Linked DNA regions of Struthio camelus. The protein of the gene in region 3 interacts with the protein of the main gene of each other region in a pairwise test. Links are inferred from orthologs where the notes say so. Each region holds a gene or a part of one and is shown on either strand. Other genes may lie near its edges.

Region 1 (7,547 bases), on a different chromosome or scaffold from region 3:
AGTGACAGAAAATGAGTTACAGTAGCAATGCTAGTAACATAGATGACTCCATCAAACTGCCGAGGGAAGTTGTTTTTTCCTTCAGATTAACAAGCCATCAGGTCCGAGTAACCTGCTTATACTGCTGAGGAATCACTCATACAACTGCTGCTAAATGAGAGTCTCCCTCCATCACACAAACCCATTCACAGACAGAAAAAATTCTGAGGTTTCCACAAATGGAAACACTCAAATAGAGAACCGGGGGGGGGGGGGGGGGGGGGGATGGTAAACGTGCTCCTACAAATACACATTTGGAAAAGATGGTGGTTCTGAACGAAAAGGTTAATGTACTTTTCTGGCTTTGTTTCCACTCAGGGTTCTGCAAACGAAGATCTCTGTTCTGCGTTTCAGGATCATTGGTGGGCTCTGATTTGATAGACACAAGGCAAACCTATACTGTCCCTATATGCTCCCTCCCTCTAGTCTCCTTAATGATTCAGCCTGGGCTTAATCTGTATCAACATTGACTTCTTGCACAAAAGTAGTAATGGGACTTTACCTGTTATATTTTATGTTAAAGGAATAACTCACTTGAGAATCTAGAAGCAGTCTGAACATTCCCACAGAAGATATGAATAGCCTAGCGTGCAATAGTTTTGTTTGGCCAATCTCAGGGCATCATAAAGCCCAAACAGGTATCACCAGTTAGGAAAGTTCTCAAACTCAATCGGATCATCCCACACTATGGGGATAGGAAAAAAAATGGTTAATGGATGATCCATTTACTACCTCAACATATAGCGAGTCCCATCAAAGCAATGAGATGTTTCCAGATAATATGAGTAGAATAAGGGGCTTACACAGTACCTAAGTAGTCACACGCCAGTCATTGGAGAAGAGAGGCACAAGACTGCAGGGCTCTTAGAAGTATTTTTCAGCCATTTCTCTGGGCAACTAACTTATTTACATGAACAAATAGAGGAACTGTTTGCATGGGCAAATCAGATATACCAAGGAGAAAATAGTCTGCAGACTGCATGTCTTTTGTGACTCCTGCAGTGACACTTTGGAAAAGAGTCCATTTCCACCATAACTTAATGTCAGATGGACATGTGTGAATAAGAGGGGAAGATGAAGGCACAAACTTGCTGGCAAAACAAAGCAAGATATGAAAAAAAAAAAAAAAAAGAAACGAAACAGACTTTACCTCACCTAATTCTCAGCCTAAGGCCCTCATCACCAAATCACGATCTGAGTACACACTAACAAAGGACACAGCTAATACTAATTTCTAAGACAATAAAGAAGATTAAAAAAAGAAGGTCAAAAGAATAAAGATTACTTAAATAATTATCATAATCCCAAAGATTTGACTTAAAAATTTTAAACCATATTTAGATCGCTTTCCTGCTTAGGGAAGAATGAGGTCCTACTTTACCACCTGCATCCAAGACACTCCCTCATCTTCACTAAAACTAACATAATTTAATCCCCCTTCTTCCTCCAGCCTCCTTGCAGGAGCTTGTAAACATGTCCACCCTCCTCTCTGCCCCCTTCCAGCTCCATCAGAAACGCCCTCTTGCTGATTCCTGCTTTACAATCTAATTCTTAACAAGGCCCCTTGAAAAAAAAGGCCTTCAAATATGAGATCATCAGTTTCCCTCTTCTATGTTAGATAGAGGAAATTAGACAACCCCACATTGTATCTCATCTCACTATGCCATCCTTTTCTGATTTCTTATCCTCTGTATCTGCCTCTCTGGGGCTTCCTGAATAAGTGTTTTGGAGAACACTCCTCTCCCCCCGCTTCTGCTTTTTCAGTTGATAATTCCACAGCCATGTGAGATGGCTTGGTCCCTCCTCACCTCTCTGCTGATAATTTTGAAACTGAGAATGTAACTCAAGTCTGCCTCCCAAGTCACTTATCCACATAACCTGTAAATGGACAAACACACTCTTTCCTCTGAAGTCCTTTACAACCCCAGCTCCAAATTTACTATCATTGTTAATCACATCTTTGTCTATGTCACTTGAGCCCGTAATCCAAGATGAAGGGATCATCTTCAGTAGCTTCTTCACACACACACAGCATATTTTGCCATTTCCTTCTCCACTGAGTTTTCAGATGTTTTTTCATTTCAAGAGAGAGAACCAGGAACATCACCTCCCACCCTTTTAATCACAGATGACTCTGCAGAGACCTCCTTGCTGCCATATCACACATCCATTGTGAATTTGCCTGCTCTCCTTCCCCTTTTCAGTCCGTATTCTCACTACCACGACTACCTTGCCCTTCCCAACCAATCTGAGCCGTTTCACTCCTGTCCCTTCTAATCTCCCATCGTTTTTCAGCACATCATTTTAGCCGTACCAACTCAAGCCTTCCTTCGACGGTAACTCTGTGCTCGGAGTGCCCTCCCTACGTCGGAGGGGGAAGACACCACGTTCACTTAAATCACCTCGAATGCAACCCGTGCAAGGCTAAATCACGCACTTGCCCCGCACATTGAGAACACAACAGGAGGGAAACGGAGGAGAAGCCGAGGGAGAGAAGAGAGCCGGGCGGGGGGGGACGGGGACCGGGAGCCCCAGCACGGGGCCAGCTCGCCCCGGCCCCTCGCCCCGGCCTCACGGAGCACACGCACTGCGGCGTCCCGCCGGCCGCCTGCCCCAGCGGGAGCCCCGCGCGGCGCGGTGCGCGTGGGGGGGGGGGGCGCCCACCGGAGCCCAAGCGGCCCCTCAAGCCGCAGGGCGCCGCCGGGCCCGCTCCGGCCTCGGGGGCTGCCCCGCACCGGGGCTCCGGCCGCCTCCCGCCGCGGGGGCGCGGGCCCGGCCGGCGGCGGCGCACCCGGGGCGCTCCCGGTTGCCGCCGCCCCGCTAGGAGCCCCGCCGCGGCCCCCCCCGCACTTACCGGGCGCCGCGGAGCGCGGCCGGGGCGGCGGAGGCAGGGAGAGGCGCCCCGGGCTCCTCCCGCCCGGCCGCCGCTGCCTGCACGCCGGAAGACCCTGGCCTCCGCGCGGCGTCACTTCCGCCGGGCGGGGCCGCCGCCGCCGCCGCCGCGCCACCGCCCTCGGACCGCACTATTGGCGTGCGGCGGGGGGGGGCGGGACGGACCATTGGACTGGGGCGGGGGGGGCAAGCGGAGAGACAAGGCGGGACGGACCGAACCACCGGGACGGCGGCAGCGGGGGGGAGGACTGAACCAGCGAGGCGGTGGGGGGGGGAGGTTCCCCGCGGGGGCTGCCTGCTGCGGCAGCCGAAGGTGGCGAGGCCGAGCCCACCGCCCCAGCCCTTCCCCTCCGGAACGGCGAGCCGGCGGCGCGAGACCGCCCTCGGGGCGGCGGGCAGCGCGGCCCGGACCTCCGCCGGCGTCACGGCTCGAGGGAAGCCGCTTACAGCCGCCACTATCCCGACCTGCTCCGCGCCCGCCCCGGCATGCCGCGGGGCCGGGCACTGGGGTAAAGGTCGCGGGGGGAAGGGGGTGGTGTTTGCTCGGCGGGGACGCAGCGCCCCGCTCCCTGTCCCGGTCTCAGCCCCGGCTCCGCTCGCCGCCGCCGCCGCCATGGCGAAGCAGGTGCAGCCCATCAGCCCCGTGAAGAACTTCTTCGCCGGCGGCTTCGGGGGCGTCTGCCTGGTGTTCGTAGGGCACCCGCTGGACACCATCAAGGTGAGGGGGCGGCCCGGCGGCCCGCCGCGCGCTGCCGGGCGGGGCGGGGGCGGTCAGCGAGGGACTACACTTCCCGGCGTGCCCTGCGCCCACGGGAGGGGGAGAACTACCCTTCCCGGCGTGCACTGCCGCGGTCTCTGAGGGGAGACTACACTTCCCGGCGTGCCCCGCGCGGGGGGGGGGGCTGGTGAGACGGGCGGGACGCCCCCTGCGGGCGCGGCGGCCCTGCCGCCCTCCCGGCGCTGGGCTCGGTAATAACAATAATACGTTAATAAGGGTAAATCGGAAAAGTAACGCTGCTGACATCATCAAAGCAATCGGAAATCGTTAAATACGTGAAAACACAAGTCTCTTCTCTTCTGCAGATGTCGAAAACATTGCTGATCTCTTTGCCAATAACGTGAAGTCTGGTCACAAAAATGACTGCTTCCTAGTCACATAGACACGTTCTCTGAATCAAAGCTTAGACAGTAATATTTCGTAAAATAGTGTTTTCTTATCTCTTCTTGCCAGGTTAGGCTGCAGACCCAGCCCAAACCCCAGCCCGGTCAGCCTCTGCTCTATTCTGGGACCTTTGACTGCTTCCGAAAGACTCTGGTTAGAGAGGTACTGTGCGAGCCTGTCGTTTGCAGTGCCTGCCAAAAACGTCAGTTGTCCGTGTACGTCACAGCAATGGCATGGGGTGGGAATGCCACCCCCTGAGATTATAAAATTCTTGGGTTATCAGCTGAAGTGAGTCTAATTGAAATTTTTCAGCAGATTACAAAACTTGAAGGGAGATCTATTTGGGGAGTATGTACTATCCATTTCTTCTAAATGAGCGTCTTTTTGCTTTGTTTAGAAACACTGGTGGCTCAAAATACTGTGATATTAATATCCGAAGCTAAAGACCGGGGTTAGCATTGGCAGTCGTTTGCTGGCTTTGTTGTCGTAGGTGGTGGAATCTCGTTGTCTTTGGTATTTGGAGCTCTTTCTGGAAGTCCTAAAATAGGCAATGACTTTTGTTAATAAAAGCAGTACTTTACATTTCTTCTGTAATACGTTATTATACCATCTGTGAGAAGGTGGATGAGTAAGTGTCAGTTTGAATTCCTAGTGTGTTTTTGTCTTTTTTTTTAAAAAGGTCAGAGGGACCATTATAGTAACTTTGTTTGATCTTCTTCATAAGGTGGACGTTGGCTTCCACTCTGTGACTCCTGAATCAGCCCATGTCATGTGATTGAACTATAGTCTATTTTTTTTTTAGAAAGGCATGCAGCCTTGGTTTAAAGACTTTAAGTGACATAGAATCCACTTTGCTGCTTGGTAAGTTTTTCCAGTGGCTATTTAACATTTGGAAAAAATGGGTTTAATGCCCAACTGTTTATTTGCTAATCTAAAGTTTAGCTCCTAACCATTGGATATAGTTGGGTCACTCTTTTCTGAATGAAAGAGCTATCTCAGATCAGAAATCTTTTTGTGATAGGACTCATAGGTTGCTACCTAACCAAAGTAAATCTTGCTTCCCTTGTCTCTCCCACAAAGCACTGAAAAGCTTTAGTAGCTCTCTTCTGAATCCCTTGCAATATTTCAACACCTCTTCTGAAGCATGGACGTCAGAGCTGAACTGTAATAACACTCTTCTGATGTGAAGTTCAAAAGTAATGCTGCCTCTCTGCTCCTACTCAATACTCATCTGTTTCTATAAGGAAAAACTGTTAAGCCTCTCTGCTAAGACCTTTTACTTCCTACTGCTTGTGGGAAGATTGAGCAGGCGTGTCTGATCTTTGTCAACCAGATAGGATTTCATTACACAGTCAGTTGTGCCAGGAAGCATACAAGCATATATTGGGATACACTGATTTTAGAGGGGGAGGAGGGGCAGAAAATATTTAATTTCTGCATCTAGCCTCTATGTAGAAAGATAATTCATAACTCTCCTTTTAATTAGAAAGGAGTTGGTATCCTCAGTTGAAAGGCAAGATAAATGAAATAAATGCTACTGCTGGGGTCTGTATCAGAGTTTGTTCCAAATATGCAGTCTGATGATGTATTTTTTTAATCTAAAGGGAAACATCGGGGATGTAAAGTTGTATCGTGAAAAGGTTTTAGCTTAGGGAGGGAAAGCAAAAATAATCTGCTCTTGAACTCGTTCCAAGCTGAGCTCATCTGGGGAGTGAAGGAGTTCAAGTTGGTCTCCCTGGCTTTATCTTTACCTAAAGAATGAATTTGATCCAGCACTGTCAGGCTTAATATCAGAATTTTACTGTTATGTTGCGTTTGATGACTTCTTCGTAAAGCATGTGTGGATTTTTTTTTAATGTATTTGAGAGAGAAAACTTTGGACATAATATAACAAGACTATTGTTCAGGTGGCTTTTAACTTCCTTGTATTTGGGATGTAAGTACAGGAGACCACATGAACAGTATTGGAAGAGAAGGCTGAAAATGGTGCCAGTGTTTTCCAGGAAGGATGGCCTTCCTTTGCAACAGGTCCTGAGCCTCAGTTAAATGTGCATTATCGCAAGTGAACAATAGATCCCATTATTCCTCTAATTAATTGGACTGGCTGACTCTAACTCTGATATTATCCTGTGTTTTAACCTTTTTGTTTCTCAGTAAGTCGAAACATGTGCAGAGCGTTATGTAAAACCAAATAATTCTTGTGATGACATTTTTTGCAGGGAGTCCGAGGCTTGTATAAAGGAATGGCAGCTCCTATTGTTGGAGTGACACCCATGTTTGCTGTCTGCTTCTTTGGATTTGGCTTGGGAAAAAGACTCCAACAGCGAAAACCTGATGATATTTTGACGTGAGTTTCTGAGTTATTCAGACGTTTGGGAAAGGCACCCTAAGACTCTGGCAGCCTGCTATGTTGTCGCACATTGAGTTGTGGTGTAAATTTGTCTCTTCTCCTAGGTTATAAATATAGCTCTAAAAAATAAAACATGGGTGTGTTTTAATGCTTCTGGAAGCGTGGGACTGATAGCACAGGCTAAAAACAGACAGCATGTGGGCAAGTGCTATGCAATTCCCTTTCTACGCAAGAAGAAGCCATTAAAGAACAATTCCATTTCAGATGAATGCAGCGTGAATTATATAATGACTGCCTGAGAACAGTCTCACTATTAACAGAAACTATGGAAGAATTAAATTCATGGTCGAGCAGTCTTGATAAAATTCAGTCACGAATCGTGATTCTCCTTTCCCTACTAGCTGTGACTCTTACTGTGCCCATAATATTAGGATATAGCAATAGCCATAGAAGTACTTCACGATTAATTTCAGAAAAGCGGTGTTTATGAGCAGCCCTGCTCTGTGGCACGTGTAACCTTCTGGAAAAGGTCCTGTGGAATGAAGCTTTTCTTAGTCCCTTTCAACCCAAAGGATGGCTAAATCTTCTCTGAGAAGCTAGTCAAACTTTGTGTCTCTCTTCAGGTTAGCTTATGCATAAGGAGAGCCCCCCCCTGCCCCCGAAAGTACTCCCTTTCTTTGCTGAATTGAGAATTACAGCTCTAAAGGAACAGAACTGTAGCTTAGCAACATTTTATTCTATTATTCATACAATGCCTAGGAGTCCTGTCAGAAAGCAGGAGCCCATTGTGTTAAGCCAAGCGTGGAGGGGTGGGGAGACACTGTTTCTGTTGGAGCTTTGCCTGCACAGGGAGGTGCCTCAGTGATACAGAGTACACCCAGCTGTGCAGCACTAGCCAGCCGCTCCCGCGACACAGAGCAAGCTGCCTCTGCTTGGGTCGCGCAGAGGGAGGGAGTGCTGAGGCACTCCGGCACTGTTTGCTCACTTCTTTTACCACTGTAACTGACTTCCTCATGTGGACGAGGCTGAAGGGTAAGACCGGAGGGAACCGGTGAGGACTGGAGAATACAAGGAAGCAAATGGTCCGTGGGCTCATTGCCAGCA
Region 2 (7,229 bases), on a different chromosome or scaffold from region 3:
AAAAAAGAAAGAATAAAAGCAAGCAAGGGAGAGAAGGGGGTGACGGCCTGGATGTGACAGGCTGGCGAGTTTGACAGAGGAGTCTTGTTTGCAGCGTTTTCACTGTGCTACGACCAGAGGGAAAGCCAAGGAATGCTTCCCAACAGCCAGCACCAAACGCAGCTCCGCCAGCCTGGCTTCAAAGAGTTTTAATTGCCAGTGGCACAAGCAGAACAGGGGAGGGTGGCAGTGGCAGAGGGGTCTGAGGAGGACACAAGGCAGAACAACGCTGAAGGCTTCTGCTGTAGCACAAGATCCATCATGCTCAGGCTTTTTCCCCCAGGAAGGGGAACTCCTGTCATTTCTCCAACCACCCTTGCTCCAACAGCAGAGATGCATTTGACCCCACGCTCTGCCTGCTGGGGGTTGAGCTCGTGGTGTTTCGCACCCAAGGCCGCAATGCCACAGGCTCCAACGAGACCACACCATGCCCTGCGTCAGGGGCATTTCAGACTGCCAGTGCCTCGGAGCCTAGGCTAATCCCATGTGTAGGCCCACAGCTCAGCTGGGGCCCGTGCAGGTGGCAATCAGCAATGGCATGTTTCAGACCTCTGCTAGTTTTCTGGGGGAAGGAGAGGAAGGTTCTGGCAGATCTCTGAGCTGACTAAGAGCTCTGAATGCCCAGTGGCTCTGCTATGTAAGCCAAAGCAATTAGCATTTCTTGGAGACACTCTATATAATCTTCCCTGAGTGATGGGGGAGGACTGCCACAAGCACAGGGATGGGCCCAGGCTGCACAGCAGCTCTGGAACCACTTCCCGGGACCGGTGACATGATGGATGCAAGGCAAAGCCGAGCCCCTCCTGCAGAAGGGGACCTTCTGCCAAGGCCCCTGGGACCACTGTGACAGCCAAGTGCTGGGAAACTGGGCCTTTGCAGGAGCCACCACAACTCCACCAGGGCCCCAGATCAACCAAACCTTGCCTTTGGGTGCCACGAGCTGTCAGATCATAGAAACCCAGAAGACAGAACAGAGACCTAGCCCTTAGCACACCTCTTTCTCATCAAATCACTTCAGCTCAGCCCAGGTGTGAAGGGCCATGTTTTGGGAGGGCCAGAGACAGCTTTATCTGTCAGCTTCCTGGCCAGGCTGATGCCTCGAGGCAGGAGAAGAAACACAGATCAGCCTGGAGATGTTCAGGGAATCACACAAAAGCGGCAGAAGTGAGCCCAGGCCAGCTATCTAAAGTCAGGGATTACTTTTAATGGCTACTTGTAGAATGGAGTGAGTGTGTGCAGGAGAGAGAGCTGAGCTGATGCTGACCCCATCCCTCACAGGCACGTGCGAGGAGCGTATCTCACATCCAGGCTTTTTATAGGGTTTCCAGTTCCCGCTGGGCATGCAGTGCGGCAGCACAGTATGACCACACCACTCCCTGCCCCCAGTAATCACTCACATGCCGTTCACTGAAGTCTTTCCATTCCCTCTCTGGCTGTGTTTCCTCTTCTCTCCTTATTAGGGATCCACCTCCCCATCCATCTTCTCATTCTCCCCCTCTGTGGCTATTTTTAAAATGCCATAAAAGCTTTCAACTGGTAGCATCTTCAGGGATGCAAAGGATTTTACATGTAACCCATCACGAGCCGTCATCACCACATCACTCACCGTGGAGGCAGTGACTTTTATTTTTTAAAAAGCAGGGGAGGGAAGGACTTCCTCGTTCCCCACACAAGTGCTGCCTGGCCAGCTTGGGAAGGGCCCTACGCTGCCTCCAGTGAAATACTGGTACCTTTGCTCATCCAGGACTCCTCTCTCACCGCGGGGGAGGATCAGGACCAAGCCGCACCCCTCTGAGTGGATGGCTGCAGCAGAAGCCTTCGGCAGCAGCACACGTTCCCTGCAGGAGGCTATACGAGAAGATCATTTTGTTCACTGAGTAGAGGGCTGTGAGCTGGGGATCACCTAGCTTTGTGCCTTAGCACTTGCTGTCTGCAGCTAGACGAGGGGAGGCTTCCTTTCTAAGGAGATGGCTGTGTTTTTCTGCTTATCCTCATGTACACGTAAGCTAGGAAGCTGCCTGTAGTGCTTGGTTCCAGTACCAGTGGTCAAGAGGTATGAGATATTCAGGAGGTAGGAAATATGTTGTTGTTGTCGCGAGTAAAACTCCTCCCTGAAGGCACCAGACAGCCCCAAGATCTGAATTGCTCTGAAGATAGCCTGGATAAACAGGGAGGACCAAGGGTTTTTGACCTACTCTATCCTACAGCCTAGCCTAGGAGGAGGGAGTGAAGGAGCATTCAGGGACCATGGAGGCACTTCACTAGCACCAGGGAAACCACTTCTCTCTCCCTGAGCTGCTTATTCCCTGCAGAAGAGCCACCTTCCCCATCCTTCCCAAAAAGGAGACCTGATGCGCGTACCAAAGAAACCTCCGTGCCTCCATGGCCCAGACCCCGACACACCACCTTTGCCCAGGCACAGCCTGGTGCAAGCTGAAGGCAGACTGCCCAACCTTCATTGCAGGGTAGAGGCTCCCTGTTGCAAGTGCCTGGCTGCCTCTGCCAGCGAGCTGCGTTCACGCGCGCCAACCTAGCTGCAGGACACCAGCCTCGGCTGTTGCCAGATGGGATTACGCTGTGCATAACCTGAGAGGTGTCCCACAGCGTGCTAATGCGATGACACGCTCTGTGTCACAGACAGGACCTGCAGGAGCCCTTTTCCATCAGCTCAAATGACCAAGTGTTGGGTGTGTCTGCAAGGAAGGCGGTGCGTTGCCCAGTGCCTGGGCTCCGTCACATCACCCAAGTATCGTCTGAGAGTGATGTGGCTATTTATAGCACATAAGCCATTAAAAGGAACTCATCTTACCTTGCTCCACCTTCTTCATCCTCTGAGGACGCGGAGGTGATGCAGACGGCACCGAGGCAGACAGGAGAGCGGTGACATGAGGAGGGTCACCTCCTGCCCCCCCAGCCCCACGGAGCAGGACCGCGCAGGGCAGAACTGTCTGAGGAAGAGAGGGAGGAGTTTGCAGGGACCAGCGCTTTGCTGTGATCTGTGCAGAGACGAGAGAGGCTGTGCGAGTGCAGACGAGATCCCCGGGAAGCCTGCACTCTATCACACTCAGAGGACTGCTGCGATACCAGCAGAGAGAGGGAAAATCCGGAGCAGAGCAGGCTTCTCAGAGAGCAGGAGAAGCTGGCACTGAGTCATGCAACACATCTCCACACGCTGCCCGGCCCCAGTGCCCGTGGCACAGAGTAGGTGGCTGTGCGGCACAGGCTGCATTTGAGGTAAGCGGTAAGAGCAAGTGGGGTCTGCTCTTACCCCACTAGACATCCGCTAGAGTCTCTGTGCGTGAGCTGGAGGCCCTCTGAGAAGAGGGCCTTGCCTGTCCCAGCCCCCATTTCGTTGTGCCAAGCAAGGAGAGTTTTTCCATGCCCTGGCTGTACTCAGTACCGGATTGTTAAACTGCAACCAGCAGGGCAAGCATGAGCCATGGGGACCTGCTGGGGGCCAGAGACTTGTCTGTGAGCCTATTTGTACACAAGCATCCCCAAGTCCTTGGATAACGCAGACTTTGCAGCCACTGGCAGACAAATCAGTCTGGTGACAAAAATCTCTCACAATGTTCCCAGCTATGTCCCAGAGCCCCCGGACCACCAAGACCTTTTCTCCTGCATCGTTTTTGTCTCAGCTGGAACTGAGATGGGGCAACTTAAGATCTACAACGGCTGCCTGATGGAAGACTGGCTCCCTTCTGGCTGCGAGGGACTTGCCATGCAGCATTGAGCACCTGAGCAACATCACAGCCCTCCATCTGTCCCTATCCCCAGCCAGCCTTTGCCTCTTTCCACGAGACACCTTTGCTCTGCCTCCCATCCCAGATCTCTGCTGTTTCCAAGCTGTCCACTCTTCCGATGTCCTCAGCTCCTCAAGATTCATCAACCTGCTAGCTCCTTAATGGCCCAGAGCCAAGACAAAGGAAGGAGCAGCAACTTCTGGGGAAAGAACAACCCCAAACCTACCCCTAGTTAGGGGCCGTCGTGGCCAAGCTGGCTGGAGGATTATTTTGCCCGGAAGCGTTCAGCGACTTAACACAGCATGTGACAGGCTGGGCAGCAACAACAGACAAATCAGTCTCGATCCACCCCTGCCTGGTGGGCAAGGCCATGAAGTCTAGTCATTCGCAAAGATGCCGCCAGCACAAAGGCGGTTGCCCTCCTCACAGCCCAGCGCTCCTGAGAGGCTTGGATGAGCTGCAGCTTCCAGACATACAACGGAAATGAGTTTCTCACACAGCTTCCTTCCCTCCTCCCTCCTCTTTTAAAGCTTTCAGTAGGGGAAAGTCCTTGATGAGGGGGGTGAAACAGCCTTCTGGCACCCCAGCCTGGCCTCCTGGCAGAGTCCTCCCTGCCTCCACCAGGAATCCACCAGGCTGTGCAGGAGCAGCTGCGGTGCTAGGAGATTCCAGCCGCGATGCCTGACATGTCCCAGCAAGTGCTGCCGAGCAAGGGGAACAAACCACCACCGACCCCGCCAGCGCCAGCTCCTCAGCAACTTTAAAAATAGCTCCCCTTTTGCAAGCGCGTCTGGGCGGGGCAGTCCTCCCAGAGACACCTCTGCCTACAGAGGTGGCAGGAGGATGGTTGCCGAGAGGAAAGGGGCAAGATCTTCAGGGCCAACCTCTGCAAAACACAGATGGTGGGAAGGACATGCAGGGCCTTGAAATGTGCTTTTGCAAATGAGAGATGCTGCAAGCATGTTTTTGAGGGGTACTGTCCTGGGGCTGTACACTTTGGGAACTTGCACTTTGAGTCCTGACCTGGGCCCAGCTGCAGACTACAGCCCAGCTGTGCATATCTGAGAAAGCTTCCTACAATCCACTACTGTGATGACAGCTCAAACCCTGAAATGTATGCTCAGGGAGATCTGCCACAGGCTCCAGATGGGCTAAGGAAGGGCTCTGGGTTTAGCATCACATTAAATATGCCTTTTGTGCCCCAACAGCAGCACTGAACTTCCCAAAGAGTGCCACTGCTTGCCAAGAAGAGACACAGACCCCACCAGCTTCAAACCCACAAGGCATATGCTCCCCTCTCATACAGCCCAGCTCTCTAGAGGCTGCTCTTCTCCCAAGGATCCTTCCAGTTGTCCAGGTCTCTAACGCAATGGTTCAAAATAGAAAAGGAATAAAATATGCATCAACAGAAAAACAAGTGATGCTTGGGGCTCAGAGAAGGACTTTGCAAGGGTAAAAAGACTAAGAAGAAAGGAAGGTCAGACAGGTTGCATAAAGAAACCACAGCATTGGCTCCTTTTTCTTTCAGAATTCAGCCCCAGGCAGCAAATCAATTCCCAGCCCAGGGCTTATGGCTGATATTGATAAAGCATTCAATGGACCATACCCAAAACCGAAAAATGCATATATAAACTATGGCCTACCAAAAGCCACACCTGAGCCACCAATATATGGGAACTGTGTGCCTCAGCGTGCTGCCACACCTGATCAGTTTGGCAGTGTTAAGCTTCAAATAGCCCTTTTCTAGAAACCAAGGCATGCCCATCAGGGCTGTGCTTCACAGCACTCTCAAGCTCTTCTGCTTCCCCAGTGATTTAGGGTGAGCCTGTGGACATAAGAGCCAGAGAGGCTGGACAGAAGACGACTCAGGACAGTATGTGTCCCCCAGCAAGAACTGCCTTCTCCACTGCAGGCTCCCATCACCCAGATGGGCCTGCCTTGAGCTGCACACAAGCAGACTTCCTGGAGCTGAAACATCAGGACTTAGGCTCTGCCTTTCCTAGGGCTACCGACATCATTTCTAGTACCCCTTCACTCTGCGAAGCCCCCTTCTTTCCCTGTCTCTCTCCTCCTGAGACCTCACAATCTCCAGTCTACCCCTAGAATGCTTTCCGGAAGCACTGCAATGCTCACAGCTGGAGAGGTACTGATATATTTAGTCTAAAAATATCTAATTAGATGTTCCAACCACTTCATTACGGCACTATCATGACAGGACTACAGGGTCTGGCAGCAACAGGGTGGGTTTGCTTCCACTCCTTTGCAGAGAGCAAAGGCAGCACCACTATCCTTGCTGATAGCAGGACAGTCTGTCATTAGTCCAGCCTGCTGGCATCACAAATACAATTATCTAGCTAAACTGATCGTCACTCTGTCATTAGGAAACTTGCTATTTATTTTATAAGAGCATGGCAGGCCCTTGAAATAATTCAATTGCTTCGATTGACTTTACAGCACGCACTCCATTGGCCTGCAGGGCCACTTTCCATGGCTGCTGCTCTTTGAGGGGCAAACTGCCAAGAAAGAAGGTTTGCAGGAAAGCCTGAACGAAACTTGGTGAGAGGAGAGAGTCCATCCACCAGCCTGAGGACAGAGAGGAGCTGCCTAAGCTCTGTATTTTCTCGGTTGGCACCAAAGTGAACACAACAGAGGATTGTCCCTTTCCTAGGCTGCTCCAGGAGAACAGAGGGAATGATTTGTAGAAGGTTGTTTGTGGCAGTGAAGTCAGGGTTTAGTGTTATGGAGGGGAACAAGATGAGGCTGGAGGGCCTGGAGCTCCCCTCAGCACCCCAGTTCTGCAAAATTCAGTGCCGCAGCCCTCTCTGGAGAAACAAGGACATTAGGCAACATTCATGGTTAATTTTTGGAAAGATACATACTAGGAAGGTAGTTTTTCCATCTCTTGGAACGCTCTGTATAAGTCTCTCCCTACCTACATCTGCACCTGTATCTCTGCTCTTTCCTCTTTGTCCCATCTCCACCAATGCCTTGAACCCCTAGTCTACTTCGGCCTTCCTTAACCCTCTCTCACCCTTTTACAAACCTTCTCCATGTTAATCTACCCAGGAAAAAAGACCTCTGCTTGGAGACCAGCCTCTTCCCTGCCATGCTGCTGCACGTGAAGAGCCTGTCCACCTTCCCAGCAGTTGCTGGCAGAGCAGGAGGTAAGGAACATGAAGTGAGGCGCACAAGGACTCACTCGGTGACAGAGCCCATCTCACCAACCCCTCAGGGGCTAGGCAGAGACACCACTGCACTGGGCAACGTTTTGCCCTGCTGGGTCCCCCTTACTGGGACCGTGCTTTGTCCTCTTTTTGCTGCTTGCATGTGGTAACCTCCACCATTGCAGAGACTCCCGGAACAGGGAGCACAGGTGGGTAGTGTGGCACAGCGAAATGAAATGGGAACCAACGTTGAGTAGGAACCATTGGTACTAAGACAGCAGAG
Region 3 (6,872 bases):
TCTAGCTGCGTTTCTAGCTCTGCTTGCAGCAAAGATGCCTCCACCCTGCTGCACGGCAGACCCTGTGGAGGTTTCCCATAGGGGACAATGGAGTGGTTTTACACTCCTCCCACAATGGATTTTGTGACATTTCCAATGTCCTTGGGCACAAATGCCCATGCACGACTGTCCCACCAAAAAGAGAGGCCCCTGCCAACTATGTGGTGGAGACCGAGGTCAGCAGCAACTTTGGGCAGGCAGCCAAAGGCCTGGCGAGAGGCCATGATGCACCTTTCTGCAAGGAGCATGGGACAACAGACAGCTAGCACAGAGGATCAGCATTTGACCCATCTGCAGATCAGCAACAGCTACTCTTGAAGGCTAGCACTACCCATCCAGCTTGCGTTCGGGCTGGCTCAGCTCTCTTGGCCCGTGGCTGGGATGGTCCCGGGCTGCTTCACTGGGAAAGGTTAACCCCAGGGCCCCACCAGCACATCCACCACTCTCTTCTCCTTCAGAGCCATCATGTTCGCTGCTCAGAGGCCCACCTTTGAACTGCAACATGCTACTCTCCTTAAAAAGCCAGCGCCCCGCAAAATAATAAGCGATTCCCTTCTGCCTTGACGCCCTCACTATGGTTACTAAAAGGCCCATCATGTGTCCTGCATCCTTAATGCCAGTGGGGCTGGAGGGCCCCGTCCCCTCCTCTCCATCGCTCCCGCCCGCGATCTCCCGTTCCCGTGGCAACCCGCTGATGGAGAGGCATCAGGATGCAGAGAAAGACGCAACAATCACACGCCACCCTCGTGCTATCGTTTAGGATATTGATGTTTAAATCTCCTGAGATTAGCCGGGTATAATTGCTTTATGGAAATGGAGACAACTCCTGTGGTGGAGCTATGTGGGCTGTCGGGGGCGAGAGCAGGCCCTCGGTTCGTGCTTCGGCGGGCAGAAAAGCGGCGAAGGGGCATCGGAAGGGCATGAGCTCAGCTACCGCCTCCGCGGGCAACGGGTGCCGTTGGCAGGGCCATGCTGGAGATGGGCAGCGGAGCAGAGTTTTCCATCCAAGTGGATGGACATGCGGTGCATAGATACTCCCAGCCAGGCACGTGTCCCACCAGCCCACTGCAGCTCTCCTGGTCATTCCCACATCTCCGGAGCAGCGCGCGTCCCCGTTGGGGATCCCTCAGGTCCAGGCTGGAGCAGAGGAGGACCTCAGCAAGGGGAGGCTAGACCCGCTCTCCAAGGCGCAAAGGGACAAGCCTTTGCTCGATGGGCTGAGACCACCAGTGGTTTGGCAGCTGCGAGCCCACCGCACGCCTCGTCCCCGTAAGCGACGGCATCCCCTCTCCCACGAGAGCCAAGGCAGACGCGTGGGCCCGCCAAACCCTCCATCCCACGCGCCAGCCAGCTCCTGGCGGCCTGCAGATGCCAGTCAGCAACAGCTGAGGAAAGCCCGTCGCTCGGCAAGCAGCATCTGCCGCTTTCCCCGATCCAGACAGCCACGTTGAACTGCGAGCAACCGCACTAAAAACCGGCATCCAGCCGCCTGCCCCACAGGTTGGGGTTTCTAGCATGGAAGATGCCCAGCAAGCAACAGTTTGCTTTGCACGCTCGCAGAGTGCTGCAGATGGGTTTTGAGGAGGCATCAGGCCAGCTGACATCACCTTGGTCCTTCCCCAGGCGATGGGCCGGGGCTCTGGCCCGCTTGCCTCTCGCCAGCCACCCGTGCGCCTGCCTGGCTCCTGGCTGCGCAGCTCCGAGCAGCCCGAGGGAGGGGGACGCATTCGGCAACGCGGTGGCAAAACCAGCTGCGCAGAGCCAGGCGTCGAGAGCTACGCGCCCCCTCCTCGCCAGGCGGTGCCGAATTTGCTCTGCCCCCTGGCAGGGCTGTGGGATCCCACCTAGGCACCAGCGCTAGCAAAGAGCGTCCTCCCTCTTAGCACAGACCAAAGCACGGCCGGCTAATTGAGTCCCCTGGCACATGCATAATGCACGAGGAGCCAACTTCTCCTTACCCCAGCATCCTGTTTTATTTATTAAAACGCTCTTTTATTTATTATGAGATCATCTCCAGACCCAGGCAGCGTTACCCTGTGGATCCTTTGACATCACTTTATACTTTCAATATTACCAATTCTTTCTTCCCAGCGCTCCGGTAATGCAAAGCGTCCCGTCCTCTGGGCTCCCCGGTGCTGTTTTAGACCTCGCATCCCATTGGCGAGGGGTCTCGGCTCCTCTGCCCGCACCGAGGTCCTATCCCAGCCCGAGACGCTCCCATCTCCCGTCCCTCCGCGAGCGGGTACTCACACGATGACGTAGGGCCGCGGCGCCCGGCCCTCCCGAGTGGCCGGCAGGTTGCTGGCGCCGTGCAGGGTGACGGTGACGGCCTCCATCCCCTCGCGGGCCACGTGCCGCTGGCCAGCCTCCGGCACGCGGGCCACCTCCTGCTCCCCGGCGGGGGACTCCGGGACCTGCTGGGAGCGAGCGGAAGAGACGTCGGGGCCGGCGGCACGGCCGGCTGCTCCGGGCTTCTCCGGCCAGGCCCCACGGAGAGCGGATTTGCTGGCGATTCGGGCCCTTCCCGCTCCTGCCGGTCCACCCGGACCCCTCTGCCCCCCCTTCTAGCTGCACCGGGCATTTTTGCAATTTAAGGACTCTGCAGGAATTGGGATCGCAGCCTAACGCCGGGCAAACGGAGGAGATGCACGGCTCCCCCCAGCTCCCGCTCATTAATTCGCACCAGCTGATGTGATAAGACACAGCAGAGCTGCAAGCTGCTGTTTTTCATCCATGGAAGCGGGGGGGGACAGGACCGTGCCCGAGTTAGTCACAGCCCGCGCGAGCCAGCACGTTTCTCCTCCCAGCTGCTCCGGTTTAGCCCCGCACCCACGCCTGCACCGTGCCCCCTGCCAGGGCGGCGCGCACCGACGGCATCAAACGCAACAGGCTCAGCGGCCGCCGGGGCGCCGCTAGCAGCCAGCGGGCTGGCGCCGGCCACAAGCGACACGAGCGCGGGCGTCCTCAGCTCAGCCCTATGGCGGCCGCATCTCGAAGGCGGGCGCCTCCGCTGGCAGATGGAGCCGCGACGAGGAGCAGCAGGCTGGGCTCTTCCGGACGCTGCTGTCAGCACCACGCTGGGGCGAGCCAGCCCCTCCGCTCGCCCCTCCTCACTCACACGGCAGCTGGGGCGGGAGGAAGGGAACAAACAAATTCCCAAACCAGAGGGGCCTTGGAGCTGTTACAAATCCTCATTGCAAGAGGGGATTTTTCCCAGCCCGTTTGCACCAGACACAAAACACCCCCGGGTGAGAAACCCCCAGGAGCCCGTGCCACCCGGCTCACCTCTGCCGCACAGGTGCTCACACCGGGCTACGGCCCGCTCCCCCCGAGACCTCCCCGGAGCACAGAGGGACGCCGGGCTCTGCCGCCGCAGCCCTGGCCAGCAGCTCCGGCCCCGACGGCCCCCAGCACCCCGGCTGGACGCGGGGATGCTCCCCGGCATCCGCCAGCAGCGCAGCCAGATGAGGTGCTAATGAAAACCTGACCGAAGCTGCCTTCATTTGCAAGTCGAGGAGGCGCAAGGATTTTCCGTCAGCCTCCCCCCGCCGCGCCGAAAGCGGGGACAATAACCTGGGGGAGGACGGCTTCCCAGCAAGGCCGGCCAGAGGCTCAGCCAGCACCCGCGCAGGCGCAGGACTCCAAGCTCACGTCTCCCGCAGCTGGTTGAGCCTCCCAAGGTGGCTCCTAAACCCAACAGGATAAACGTGCCTGCCCGCACCAAGCCGGGGCCGAGCGAAGAGCTGCTCCTCACCCCGCAGGCGTCGGGCTGGCTGCAGACCCCGCGGTTCGCTGGCACTGCTCGCTCTTCCCGCTCCGACATCCGGCCAGCGGCTGGGCCGCAGCCACGGTTCTCGTCTGCAGGCCACCAAAGAGGCAGAGCAGGTCCCTGGGGCGCGGGGAAACTGCTGCTGAGCGTGAAAATCACCAAACCTACAGTGCCAACCGCACGGTAGCGGGCCAGAATTTGTGAGCAGCCCTCCGACAGGCTACAAAACGCAGCAAGGAGAGCCCTGAGCGACCCTCCGGCCACAGCACAGAGCCGCGGCACTTCTGGGCACGACCCCAACCGCGCAGGGGAAGAGCCAGCAGGCGCCGAAGCCCCCCACGCCACGCTCCCCGTGCCCCGCACTGCGCCCACCGGGCTCCGCGCGGCATCATCCGCCCAGCCCAGAGCTCAAATCACTGCAGCTGACTTGCCACAAGCCACTCGGACAGGTCGGGCTTGCCACGCGCCTCACCTCCGCTCGCGTGCCCTCCAAAGCCAGGGAGCGGGTTTTATTAAACCGCTCCCATCTCCCAAGGGGTTAACACCCGGTCAACACCGCAGCGGGTTTCAAACCGTTCGGAGCAAACCCGCTGCCCGTCCTTCCCACCGCAAGGGGTTAAAGCCGCTTCGCCCGCCTAGCACCTACCCCCTTCCTCGCCCCCCAGGGCTTTTCAAAACCCTTGCTGCAAATCCCCTCCGACATGTGTCTTTGGCTCCAAACTCTTTAATGAGGGGCTTGTTCGTCCTAAGCCCTCTCCTTTGTCTCCCCGCCGGCCGTCTCACTCCAGCGGAGACGGAGACGCTGGGACGGGGCTGGCAGGCGGCGAGGTGAGCGCAGGGTGAGGCGCCCAACCAACGCGTGCCGATTACGGGATTGCCACCCAGCCACGGGGTGCTGGCCGCCCCGGGGATAAACATCGCGCAAAGGGCAACCATGCTGAAGAGCTTGCTAGTCTCCTTGCTGAGGAGCAAGCAGGAGAAGGCGGGGAGAACGAGCATAGGAGGTGCGTGTGGTTTTGGAGAGAGAGGAAAAAAATAGAGAGACTGAAAATAAATGAAAATAAATGCATTTCTTCCCATCCAGAAAGGAAAAATTCAGGTAGCTGCCCAATGCGAGGCCCTGGGCTAAGGCCCAGGCAAACACATCGCAGCCCTTCCTGGAGACGCTGGAGAGTTTATGCACAAGCCCCGTTCTGCAGGTGGGGAAACCGAGGCACAGAGCAAGCAGCGGCTTTAACCGCGGTCCGCTGCGGAGCGCGGGGATTTGTTCTGACCCTGGCACAGCCTTCATCTCAGCTTTGGCTCGTTTGCTTGGGTTTTCTGCATCTTAGCAATATTAATTTATGGGTTTCCCCCTCCAGCTCCTCGCGCACGTGCTCGTTTCCGATTGATGCGTTCACAGCGCCCTTGGCTAAAACAGGCGCCGCTTCGGCCGCGAGAGGCAGGCCAGCGAGGAGGGTGCGCAGGGCCTCCGCGACAATGAAAGCGGCACCGTGGGAGAAGAGATGCTCAGAGGGGAAGCGGGGGCAGATGCAAAGTCACGCGATTCCCCCGACGGCGGGATGCAGCTCCCAGCAAGGTGCATAGCTTGGATAAACCTCACTTTCCCCTAAATCACCCCTGCCCAGGTGACAGGTCTGCAAGCAAGAAGGCATCTCCGCGGTCACGCTGAGGGCAGCAGAGCTGATCTCCGGAGCAGAGATCATCTTCCCCCTCCCCGCCGCTATTTTCCAGTCTTGCTCACCAAACCCTCGAGGACACGGGGTTGGCTTGTCCGTGCTCATCGCTGCCCCAGACCTCAGCTCCCTGACCCCTTCCTGAGGTGCTTCCTAAATACATCTCCGGAAGGAAGGGAAGAGGAGGTTGGGAGAGTATAAATATTAGCACAAAAAAAAGAAAAGCACGATTTCCCCCCCCCCCAACCCCTGTCACAACATCTGCACACAGGGAAAACTGCAGGATGGAGCAGCAGGAGGAGCAGGGAAGCTCTCGCTGGGGAACGCGGACTCCTTCCGAGGAAGCATCTGCTCAGGCTTCGGCTCTCCGCGTCCCCGCAGCAGGACACGGACGTTTCGCCAAGACCCGGGCGGCCCCGCTACAGCGGGCGGCAGGACGCGGCTCCTGACGTGGGACGAGGACGGGCGCCCACGAGGAAGGGCTGCGGCGGCAGGAGAGGGGAAGGCTGGGGGAACGCGGACCAACCTCAGCGCGCCCGCAAGCCTGGAGGAGGTACGTTAGCATCTACCCCGCTGCAGCTTCCGAAACGAGCACGAGACCTTCCTTTTTTCCCCCCGCTCTGTTGAAAACGCGGCGCAGTTGCTCTCTAGAGAGCCCCCAGCCGCTCAATAAAAGCCAAAAATCCAGAGAAAATCCAGCCGGCTGGACCAACGCAGCCAGCGAGACACGAGAAGACCTTCAGGCCTCGTTCTTGATGAGGAAGGAGACCTCAGAGCTCCCTGACGGGGCCCACGAGAGGCTGCGCAGGAAGCAGCTCAGCACCTGCAGCAACGAGGCCGGGACGAGCGGCCTCGGGGAGGACCAAGCGGAGGAGAAGCCCACGGCCCCAGGCCTCTCGTGCCCCCTCTTCTCCACGCTAGCTCAGCTTGCCAGGGAAGGCACCCAGGGACACAACTGGCTTGCATTAAGCATCGTTTCTGAGGAGCATTTGGGAGACACGCTGACCCAGCTTAGTTTATCAATTAGGCTGTGCTGGCTCTAGCCAGTGAGCAAGACAAAGCCCCCCAGCACCGAGGGCGGCTTAGCTCATGGGTACGCTGGATCGGTACCCCATATTTACCTAGCTCAGTTTCCGTGTTTCTGCTCATTTTTCCCCGTTTTCCCGGCTTTCTTTCACAATCCACGTAAATCCCGCACCGCTTTCTTGGTCTTTGCAGCCGTCGCTCGCGTTCACGCACCCCTGAAAAACCATAGGCACTTTCCTGCTGGCAGCGCAGCTGCGGCACGATAGTTAGCAGGGGTTTTAATAGAAAATTCACAAGCAGTTAAGCTAAGCAGAACTCGGCACGAGAACAAAACACGTTAAAAATAGCAGGCATGAACAATG
Region 4 (7,525 bases), on a different chromosome or scaffold from region 3:
CACTCTTCCACAGGGTCCCTCCTGCCGAGTCCTGACAGGGCAGGGAGCACAGCCTGGCAGCTTCCTCTGCTGAGTATGTCTGTTCAGCCAGTGGCTGTAACCTTAGAGTGCCTTATTCTACAAAAGCAATCCCTGAAGCTAGCTGCTAGTGCTACCTGCCAGAAAGATGATGCCCTGTGAGGTCTCCACAAATCTGAGGCTCTTGCTAAGGCAGGGGCTCCTCTTAGCTGTTAAGCTGCTGAAATCTCACCATCTTTGCTGTTCACATCCCACCAGCAACAGGAGATGCTTCTCAGCCCCACTCAGTGAGCCAGCATCCACCTGACATTACCCTGCAAGGATGACTGGTGTTGTTTCAAAGCCTCCAACTCCAAGAAATCCATAACTGAAGCTGCTCAGGAGTAAATCCAGTCATAGGACCAGATCCATAAAAGCAACATAGACTGGAATGCATCCTACCTTCATGTTGTCAGGTGGGTCGCCCTGGCCCGTGGTTGCACACACAAATACCACCAACAGCTCATTGATGAGGTTCGCCTGTGCACAGACAAGCATAGAAAGGTGCACTCAGGTCAGCAGCCTACAAACATATGCCCCTAGCTAGCCAGACCCAGCTGATCATGTTAGATTCAGTTCATGGACAGACCACGCTTGGCATAAACCCACAGCCCCCGCATGGCACATCCTCCTCTGACAACACTGTACAGTCATCTGCTCCCCACACACACTGCCTGCAGCAAGAGATCGTTGGTGCTCCTTGCCTTGTAGGAAGTGCGCTTGATGAAACACTGGATAAGGCTGGGCATCTGTCATCTAACAGTGATTGTATCCCAAGAGTCACTGCTCAGTTTTCACATTTTCAGCTGAGTTAAGCACAAGCTGCCCTCAGGGAGGACAGAGAGGCATGATCTTATGAAATATAGGAGGTCATAGCAAGGGTGGGAGATGTCTGAGCCCTAGAAATGGGATTGGTAGAGATGGAGCAAGACTAGAACTGCCTGGGGCACCTCTCTGCATCACCACTCACCACATCATAGCTGTCCAGTGCCTCCACTCTGCACTGAAAGTGGCGTCGTTTGGCTTCTCTGCCAATTCTCTCAGCTGTGTCCTGAGCTGTCCCAGTCTGGCTGCCAAAAAGAACGAGGAGAGTCCGTTCTGCCATCTGAAAGAGAAAGTACCAAAGAAATCATCAAGAGGGGACTTAAGGCAAGGTAAGGGAAGGTAACGCTGGACTTCTCTCTGCTCTGGGCTAGCAGTCACCCTGAAACCTACCCAGGCTTCAAAGGAGTTCTGGTAGCTTTTTAATCAAGTGTACTTTGGGGGAAAGACACTGCATACTTTGGCAAACAGCAAGGACGGAGATAGTCTAATAGTTCAATGAAAAGGTCAGGATTCAAGCCTCCTGGGCTCTCTTTCCATCCTCAGAGAGCACTGAGTAGGTGACACCCTCTTCACCCAGCATCCTTGTCTGTAGGAGCAGGAGTGACAGTACTTGGACAGTCCTTGTCCTTGCTGCCAGGGCAAAGGGAGGGGGATGAGTTGGGGGTATAAAATCCAAGGACAGTGTTTCACATTCTAGCTCATTTTAGCTGGCCTCCCCACCTGCGGTCAGTACATCCTTGGAATCAGTCTTCAGGTTTCCCATTTTAACACATCTGTTTCCCCTAATGCCATGAGACCTGACAGCCGAGGAGGGGAGGCAGGCAGGAGCAGAGCCTGGGAGCTCAGTTTGACTAGACACGGTGCTCTCAACTGCAGGAGAAGACGCCTCCTGTGCTGCTCTCACCCAGCAACAAGGGGCCTAGGTATTACTGGAAATCACAGCACAGAGGAAATTCAACCCAGCAGGATGCCAGAGCCGCAAATTTACCGCACCCCTACGGGGAATGTGTACCACTTCCAGAAAAGCTGCTGATAAAAACTAAGGAGGGGACACTACTGGCCTTTCTACGGACCAATTCCTGCAGAGGGGCTGCAGCTCCAAGGGACCTTCCCCTTGCCCAGAGCCGAATGGATTTTTCCAGAAGAGCTGGCACATCCTATGTGCCCTTCTGGACATGCACACTGCTCGCTCAGCTCCAGGAACAGAACTGCTTTTCCCTGTGCACGTCTCTGCCACAACCGCCCACTGAGGAGAGGCAGGTCCCCCATCACCCCAGCTTCAGGGTCCCTCGGGGCGCTGCCCTTCGCAGCGGGAGGCAGACCCTACCGCCAACAAGCAGCGCCCGCAGGGGCCCGAGCCAGCTCCCAGCCCTGGGGGGAGGGAGGCCACCCTGCATGGGGGACCTCTGCCACAGGGTGACCGCCCCGGTCTGGGGAGCCCCGGGGTCTTCGGTGGGCAGCATCGGCCACCGCTCACCCAGCCTGGGGGCTCCTGAGGGCCAAGGGGGCTGGAGAAGGGGCACCTGTGGGAGGGGGGAACACCCTAGGGGAGGGAAAACCTCAGGGGGGCACCGAGGGAAGGGGGAGACGCCCCAGGGAGGGGGGGCACCGAGGGAAGGGGGGGCGCCCCGGGGGGGGGAACTGAGGGAAGGGGGAGACGCCCCAGGGAGGGGGGGCACCGAGGGAAGGGGGGGCGCCCCGGGGGGGGGAACTGAGGGAAGAAGGGGGCGCCCCGGGGAAGGGGCACCGAAGGAAGGGGGGCACCGAGGGAAGAGGGGGCGCCCCGGGGGGGGGCACCGAGGGAAGGGGCGCCCCGGGGGGGGGCACCCCGGTGCCGATCCCTGCGAGCGGAGAGGCGGTGGTTGCCGGGGAGGGACAGCGAGGACCGGGGAAGGCCCGGCGGGGCCCCAGCAGCGACTCCCAAAGCACCGCACCACCCGGCCAGGCGGCTCCGGGACGGGACGGGACGGGACGGGGCGGGGCGCCCGGCCCGGCTCGGCTCGGCTCGGCTCGGCTCGGCCCGGCCCGGCCCGGCCCGGCTCGGCTCGGCCCGGCCCGGCCCCGGGGCCGCGGCACCCACCGTGCGCCCGGCATCGCCGCCTCCGCTTCCGCCGACGTCATCAGCCGCCGCCGGGGCTGGCGCGACCTGCCGGCGGGGCGGCGGCTGATGGGCGGCGCGGGCGCGGGTGCGGGTGCGCGGCGGCGGCGGCGGGGCCTGGAGGGCCGGCTCGGGGACCTAAGGCCGGGGGCTGGGTCAGGGGCCGGGGCTGGGCCGGGACCGCGCCGGGGGCGGCGGGGTGGGTCGGAGGCCGGGCCGGGCCGGGGTTGCAGGGCCGGGCCCGGGCTGCGGGGTGCTGACGGCATGACGGGCTGACGCTGTCCCCCCGGCAGGGCCCGTGTGCCCGCGGTGGCGGTGGGCCAGGCCGGGCCCCCGGGAAGATGCTGTTTTCCCTGCGTGAGCTGGTGCAATGGCTGGGCTTTGCCACCTTCGAGATCTTCCTGCACCTCCTGGCTCTCCTGGTCTTCTCCGTGCTTCTCGTCCTGAAGGTGGACAGCGAAGGCTCGATGCTCTCCTGGTGGACTGTGTTCATCCCCTTCTTCGCCGCCGACGGCCTCAGCACTTACTTCACCACCATTGTCTCCGTGCGGCTCTTCCAGGACGGAGAGAAGCGCCTGGCCGTGCTGCGCCTCTTCTGGATCCTCACCATCCTGAGCCTGAAGTTTGTTTTTGAGATGCTCCTGTGTCAGAAGCTGGTGGAGCACACCCGGGAGCTCTGGTATGGGCTCATCATGTCACCCGTCTTCATCCTCCTCCAGCTGCTCATGATCCGAGCCTGCCGGGTGAACTGATACCGAGGGAAAGGCTCCCAAATGACTGCCTCTTACCCTGGATAGAGCTTTGCCTGAGCCACCAGGGAGCCCTGAGCTCCAAGTTTGCTAAGTTGGGCTTTTGCCCTTTTTTTGTTTTTGTACAGAGTGATATTGGTTGTTAGGTTATGCAGGTCTGGTGTTATGAGAAGAGAGTTTGTAATCAACCAGATTACGTTATTATGTTGTATAGCTCAGCATTTCTTCAAAAGATCTTTTTTATACAGCGCCATTGATTTCAGGTTCACTCAGCTCTTGATGTTAATGTTAATATATCCTGATATGCAAGCACTGTTTGATATGCCAGTTAATTTAAAATAAAAATGTACAGATAGTGTAGTTTTATTTATACAACTCTTTTTCCCTGGAAAGTATATGTAGTTGAAACTGCTGCCTGGAGAATAAGAATTATTTGGAGGTTAGTTGTTGTAGATATCCTTGTAAAACTCAAATGGCTACTAGCCTTAAACAATGAAGCTGTTATCTTGCTTGCCCTGACCAGTCTGAGGCCATGGTTTTAACAACGTGTTTTCTTCAGCGACAATCCTAGTGTAATGTATTCCCGTTTTTTCCTCTCATTTCCCTGAGCAATACTTCATGCCTTCACATTGCCAGCAAGATTTTCTGTGCGGTTGTACTGTGAGCCAGAGGGCACTGATGTCTATTTTGGAACAGAAGTATATATTTTTTTCTTTGTATTTCAGATCTATTCCCAAAATATAAAGGTGTTGGGAGGGCAAAGTATAAGAGCAGGAGCATGAAGAGCTGCTTCTGAAGGTGGGCTCTCACTGAATCACAGCTTTTGTGTGAAACACTGTCCTCAAATATCTAGAAATGACCCACCGTAAATGGGGGTAGTTTAGTCTTTCTAGGGGAAATAGAGATCAGCAAGTTATTGTTAGGTTCACAACGAACCCCCATTGCAAAAGACACTTTAGTATCATTTAGCTCCGACCGTGAGGATATTCAGGGCTATAGATCTGTCTCTTACCTATCTATGAGACATTGAACGTTACTTTGGTGCCCAGGTCCAGAGGACTGTTCTCCTTTTGACAATGGATTTTAGAGACCTCTGTACTATAATGATGACGACTATCGGAAAACACCTCCCAGCAGTCATGGGCTTCCTTTCCAACCTCAGCAGTGCTCTGTGACCCACCCCTGTCTTTGCCCCATCTACCTAGCTACTGGTATCATCATGTGTTCTCTGCTGCTCTCAGGTTTACATTTCATGGAGATAGGATCTTGAAATGGAGAACTGCTGCATACACCACTCAAGTTCAGGAGATGAGGTGGGATGTAACCAGCAGAGCATGCATTAAGAAAAAGTTGAGAATTGCCACAGTGCGGGACTATATTGTAATCTAACAAAGTCAGGTGCTTTTCAAATTGCATAAAGCAGATTTTCTCTGGCTTCATACCTGAAATCTAGAAAATCTGTAGTTACCTAGCCTCTTGTGTAACTTGTATTTGCTTTTAGCATTTTGGAAGCATGCGGGTAAGAAAGGACCAATTTTCCAAGTTTATTTTTCCAGTGTACTGATTTTATAAACTTGTGGCTGTGAGTTCAGAGCAGATCTCACTGGATATTCCCTTAACAGGTTCTCTCTTGAAAAAGCTATCCACGGTGAGAGGTCTGATGCTTTTCTAAAAATAAAAAAAAAAATAGTAATAATAAAAATCCTAGAGTCCTGGGGAAAAGAGCTGTGTTACAAACTGCCTCATGACCCCTGCACAAGGAGTGCTAGAAACGTTGCTGTGTTGTTAAATGGCATGAACTGCAGGCTTCAAAGCTTGCTGAGGCTTGGGGAAATCTGTGGTCTGACTTACAGGTCAGTCTCCTTTTCACAGCATGTTGAGCAAGAGAATTTTTGCACAGAAAAGAACTTAGAGGAAAAGTTAAGTGACAAATAACACCTTCCCAAGGGGCTGCTCTTGATTTGGAGCTGGAGTAAAAAGTCCTGTTCTTAGTCTTTGTGAGCAGATCCAAGCATGCAGCCTAAGAGGTGGTGTGGCACAGGAAAGCAAATAGCAACAAAGAGCATAATTCCACATAATTTGTCGTCATAATCCAGTAATGCATATCGTTTACTTTTCTGCTGCAGCCATTGGAGATAGTCTGATGGATACTGAATCTAAGCAAAGCTTCACCTCCGTTCGGGTCACATCTGGCTCCAGCTTTGGCCCAGTGACTCTAGATGGCCTATCCTGGCCTGGCATCAGGGTCTGAGGCTGAAAGCACAGCATAGGATCACCCATTTTTCTCCGTCCTGGTGCACCCTTAGGTGGCGCTGGGACCCAAGCGTTAGGTAGGACCTGGCCTCGCAGAAGCTCCTCAGCTCCTGCTTCACTTTGTTATGTGGTTTTCCAGGCTTCAGCACCATCCAGGTGCTGCCATAATGTCCCCATACACTTGTCCGCTCTGTCTGCTGGGAGCCAGCATCTTGCTCACTTGGGTCTAGCTAAAGCAAACCAAGGACACATCATTTGGAAGGAGGGCAGCTGGCTACTCCTTATCCTCTTCCACCTCAGGCCACTGTGACTTCATCCCTGCTGTTGGTGTCCCTGTGCTGCAGCTGTGCCCATGATGTGACAAGTCATTCTGAGTGTACAAGCTGCAGATATTGCATCACCAGCAGCTGCAGAGCTGCTCGTGTGAGCCTGGGGAGGGAGATAGCTGGGGGGTAAGGCCTGTCTGCAATAGGGGGTTGTAGGGGAGCAAGGCTGGGATGATCTGATGGGATTGCCAGTGTCTGCTGAAGGGCACAAAAAATCAGAGCACCAGAGGAGGGATCGTATGATAGGTGAAGGTTGAGGTGAACAGCAGGGAGCAGGAGAAGCAGTAGAGCCTCTGACTCAGGATGTGGCAGTAGCAGAGCTGCTTTAGGGACTACTATTGGACTCTCCCAAAGCTCTCCAGGCACTCAGCTAATTAAATCAAAGATGGGGCAACCTCCTCCCCTCAAAAATTCCAACACTCATCTTTCAGCCTTGGTGCAATGCTTTGCAGAGGAACAGGGGCAGTTTCCTGCTGCTGAGCCATGGCTTGGCTTGCCAGGGACTGTCAGAGCAGGAACAGAGACCTAACCTTACAAACAGCCATGTCACAGGGGTGTGGTGCCCAGGGCTGGCTGGATGCCACTGCTCACCAGGACAGAGGGGGCCAATGCAACATCTACCTGCATTCAGCTTCAGGCTGCCAGCTGCCGAGCTTTCCGGCAGCTCCTCCGGCAATTTGTGGCTATCTTTGGGGACAACCAGGAGCCAACATTTCCCAGCTCTGCTTTTCCAAGGTAAGGCAAGCTCCCAGGTGTGTCTGGGGGACACAAGGGAGGCACAGTCCCAAGCTGTGGCACGTGGGGTGCTGTACTCAACAGGGATGTGAGGGCTGTGTGCGTGGCCAGGGGTGGCAAGGTTTGCCTTGCAGCATGGACCCAGCCCTGCCCCTCTCCCAGGACTCACTCCTTGTGCAAAGGAGTCACTTTTCCCTCTGTGCCCAAGGAGAGCCAAGTCCCACAACAAAACTTCTTGGAGCCTTTGTGTCCCTTCTGCCCCAGCAACATGACACCCCAGGGATCCTGCCCACAGCTGGGGAGATGCAGGTGAGCCACAAAAGCTGCTCCTTTCTGTGAACATCCCCTCCAGTGAAAACTTTCTGGATAGCGATCAAAGGGCCCAGGGCAGAGCTCTGTGTAAATAATGTGGGCGAAGGGCTGTGAAGCTGGAGCAGGAATTACCCAGGTAGGCAAGCAAAAGCCTACGTGTTTATTCTCCT

What was found.
Region 1: the proteins of CCDC33 (region 3) and ARIH2 interact in a two-hybrid assay, tested with the Homo sapiens proteins (2 studies listed by BioGRID and IntAct). The two-hybrid records come from large-scale screens. The link is inferred for Struthio camelus from reciprocal best matches to the Homo sapiens genes CCDC33 and ARIH2.
Region 2: the proteins of CCDC33 (region 3) and ABLIM3 interact in a two-hybrid assay, tested with the Homo sapiens proteins (2 studies listed by BioGRID and IntAct). The two-hybrid records come from large-scale screens. The link is inferred for Struthio camelus from reciprocal best matches to the Homo sapiens genes CCDC33 and ABLIM3.
Region 4: the proteins of CCDC33 (region 3) and NDOR1 interact in a two-hybrid assay, tested with the Homo sapiens proteins (2 studies listed by BioGRID and IntAct). The two-hybrid records come from large-scale screens. The link is inferred for Struthio camelus from reciprocal best matches to the Homo sapiens genes CCDC33 and NDOR1.

What each region holds. Positions count from the first base shown.
Region 1 is NC_090955.1:10,214,101-10,221,647, forward strand, and holds the start of ARIH2 (E3 ubiquitin-protein ligase ARIH2), read right to left. Parts: upstream 3,020-7,547; 5' UTR 2,894-3,019; intron 725-2,893; exon of another isoform or gene 574-724; intron 1-573. Other genes in the region: SLC25A20 (mitochondrial carnitine/acylcarnitine carrier protein), read left to right, coding at 3,545-3,649, 4,163-4,255, 6,313-6,440.
Region 2 is NC_090954.1:7,751,926-7,759,154, forward strand, and holds the start of ABLIM3 (actin-binding LIM protein 3), read right to left. Parts: upstream 3,017-7,229; 5' UTR 2,868-3,016; coding exon 2,849-2,867; intron 1-2,848. UniProt on the Homo sapiens protein: May act as scaffold protein. May stimulate ABRA activity and ABRA-dependent SRF transcriptional activity.
Region 3 is NC_090953.1:23,678,163-23,685,034, forward strand, and holds the start of CCDC33 (coiled-coil domain-containing protein 33), read right to left. Parts: upstream 3,015-6,872; 5' UTR 2,621-3,014; coding exon 2,290-2,620; intron 1-2,289.
Region 4 is NC_090961.1:12,913,788-12,921,312, forward strand, and holds the start of NDOR1 (NADPH-dependent diflavin oxidoreductase 1), read right to left. Parts: upstream 3,020-7,525; 5' UTR 2,963-3,019; intron 1,812-2,962; exon of another isoform or gene 1,603-1,811; intron 1,163-1,602; coding exon 1,028-1,162; intron 538-1,027; coding exon 460-537; intron 1-459. Other genes in the region: TMEM203 (transmembrane protein 203), read left to right, coding at 3,322-3,732. UniProt on the Homo sapiens protein: NADPH-dependent reductase which is a central component of the cytosolic iron-sulfur (Fe-S) protein assembly (CIA) machinery.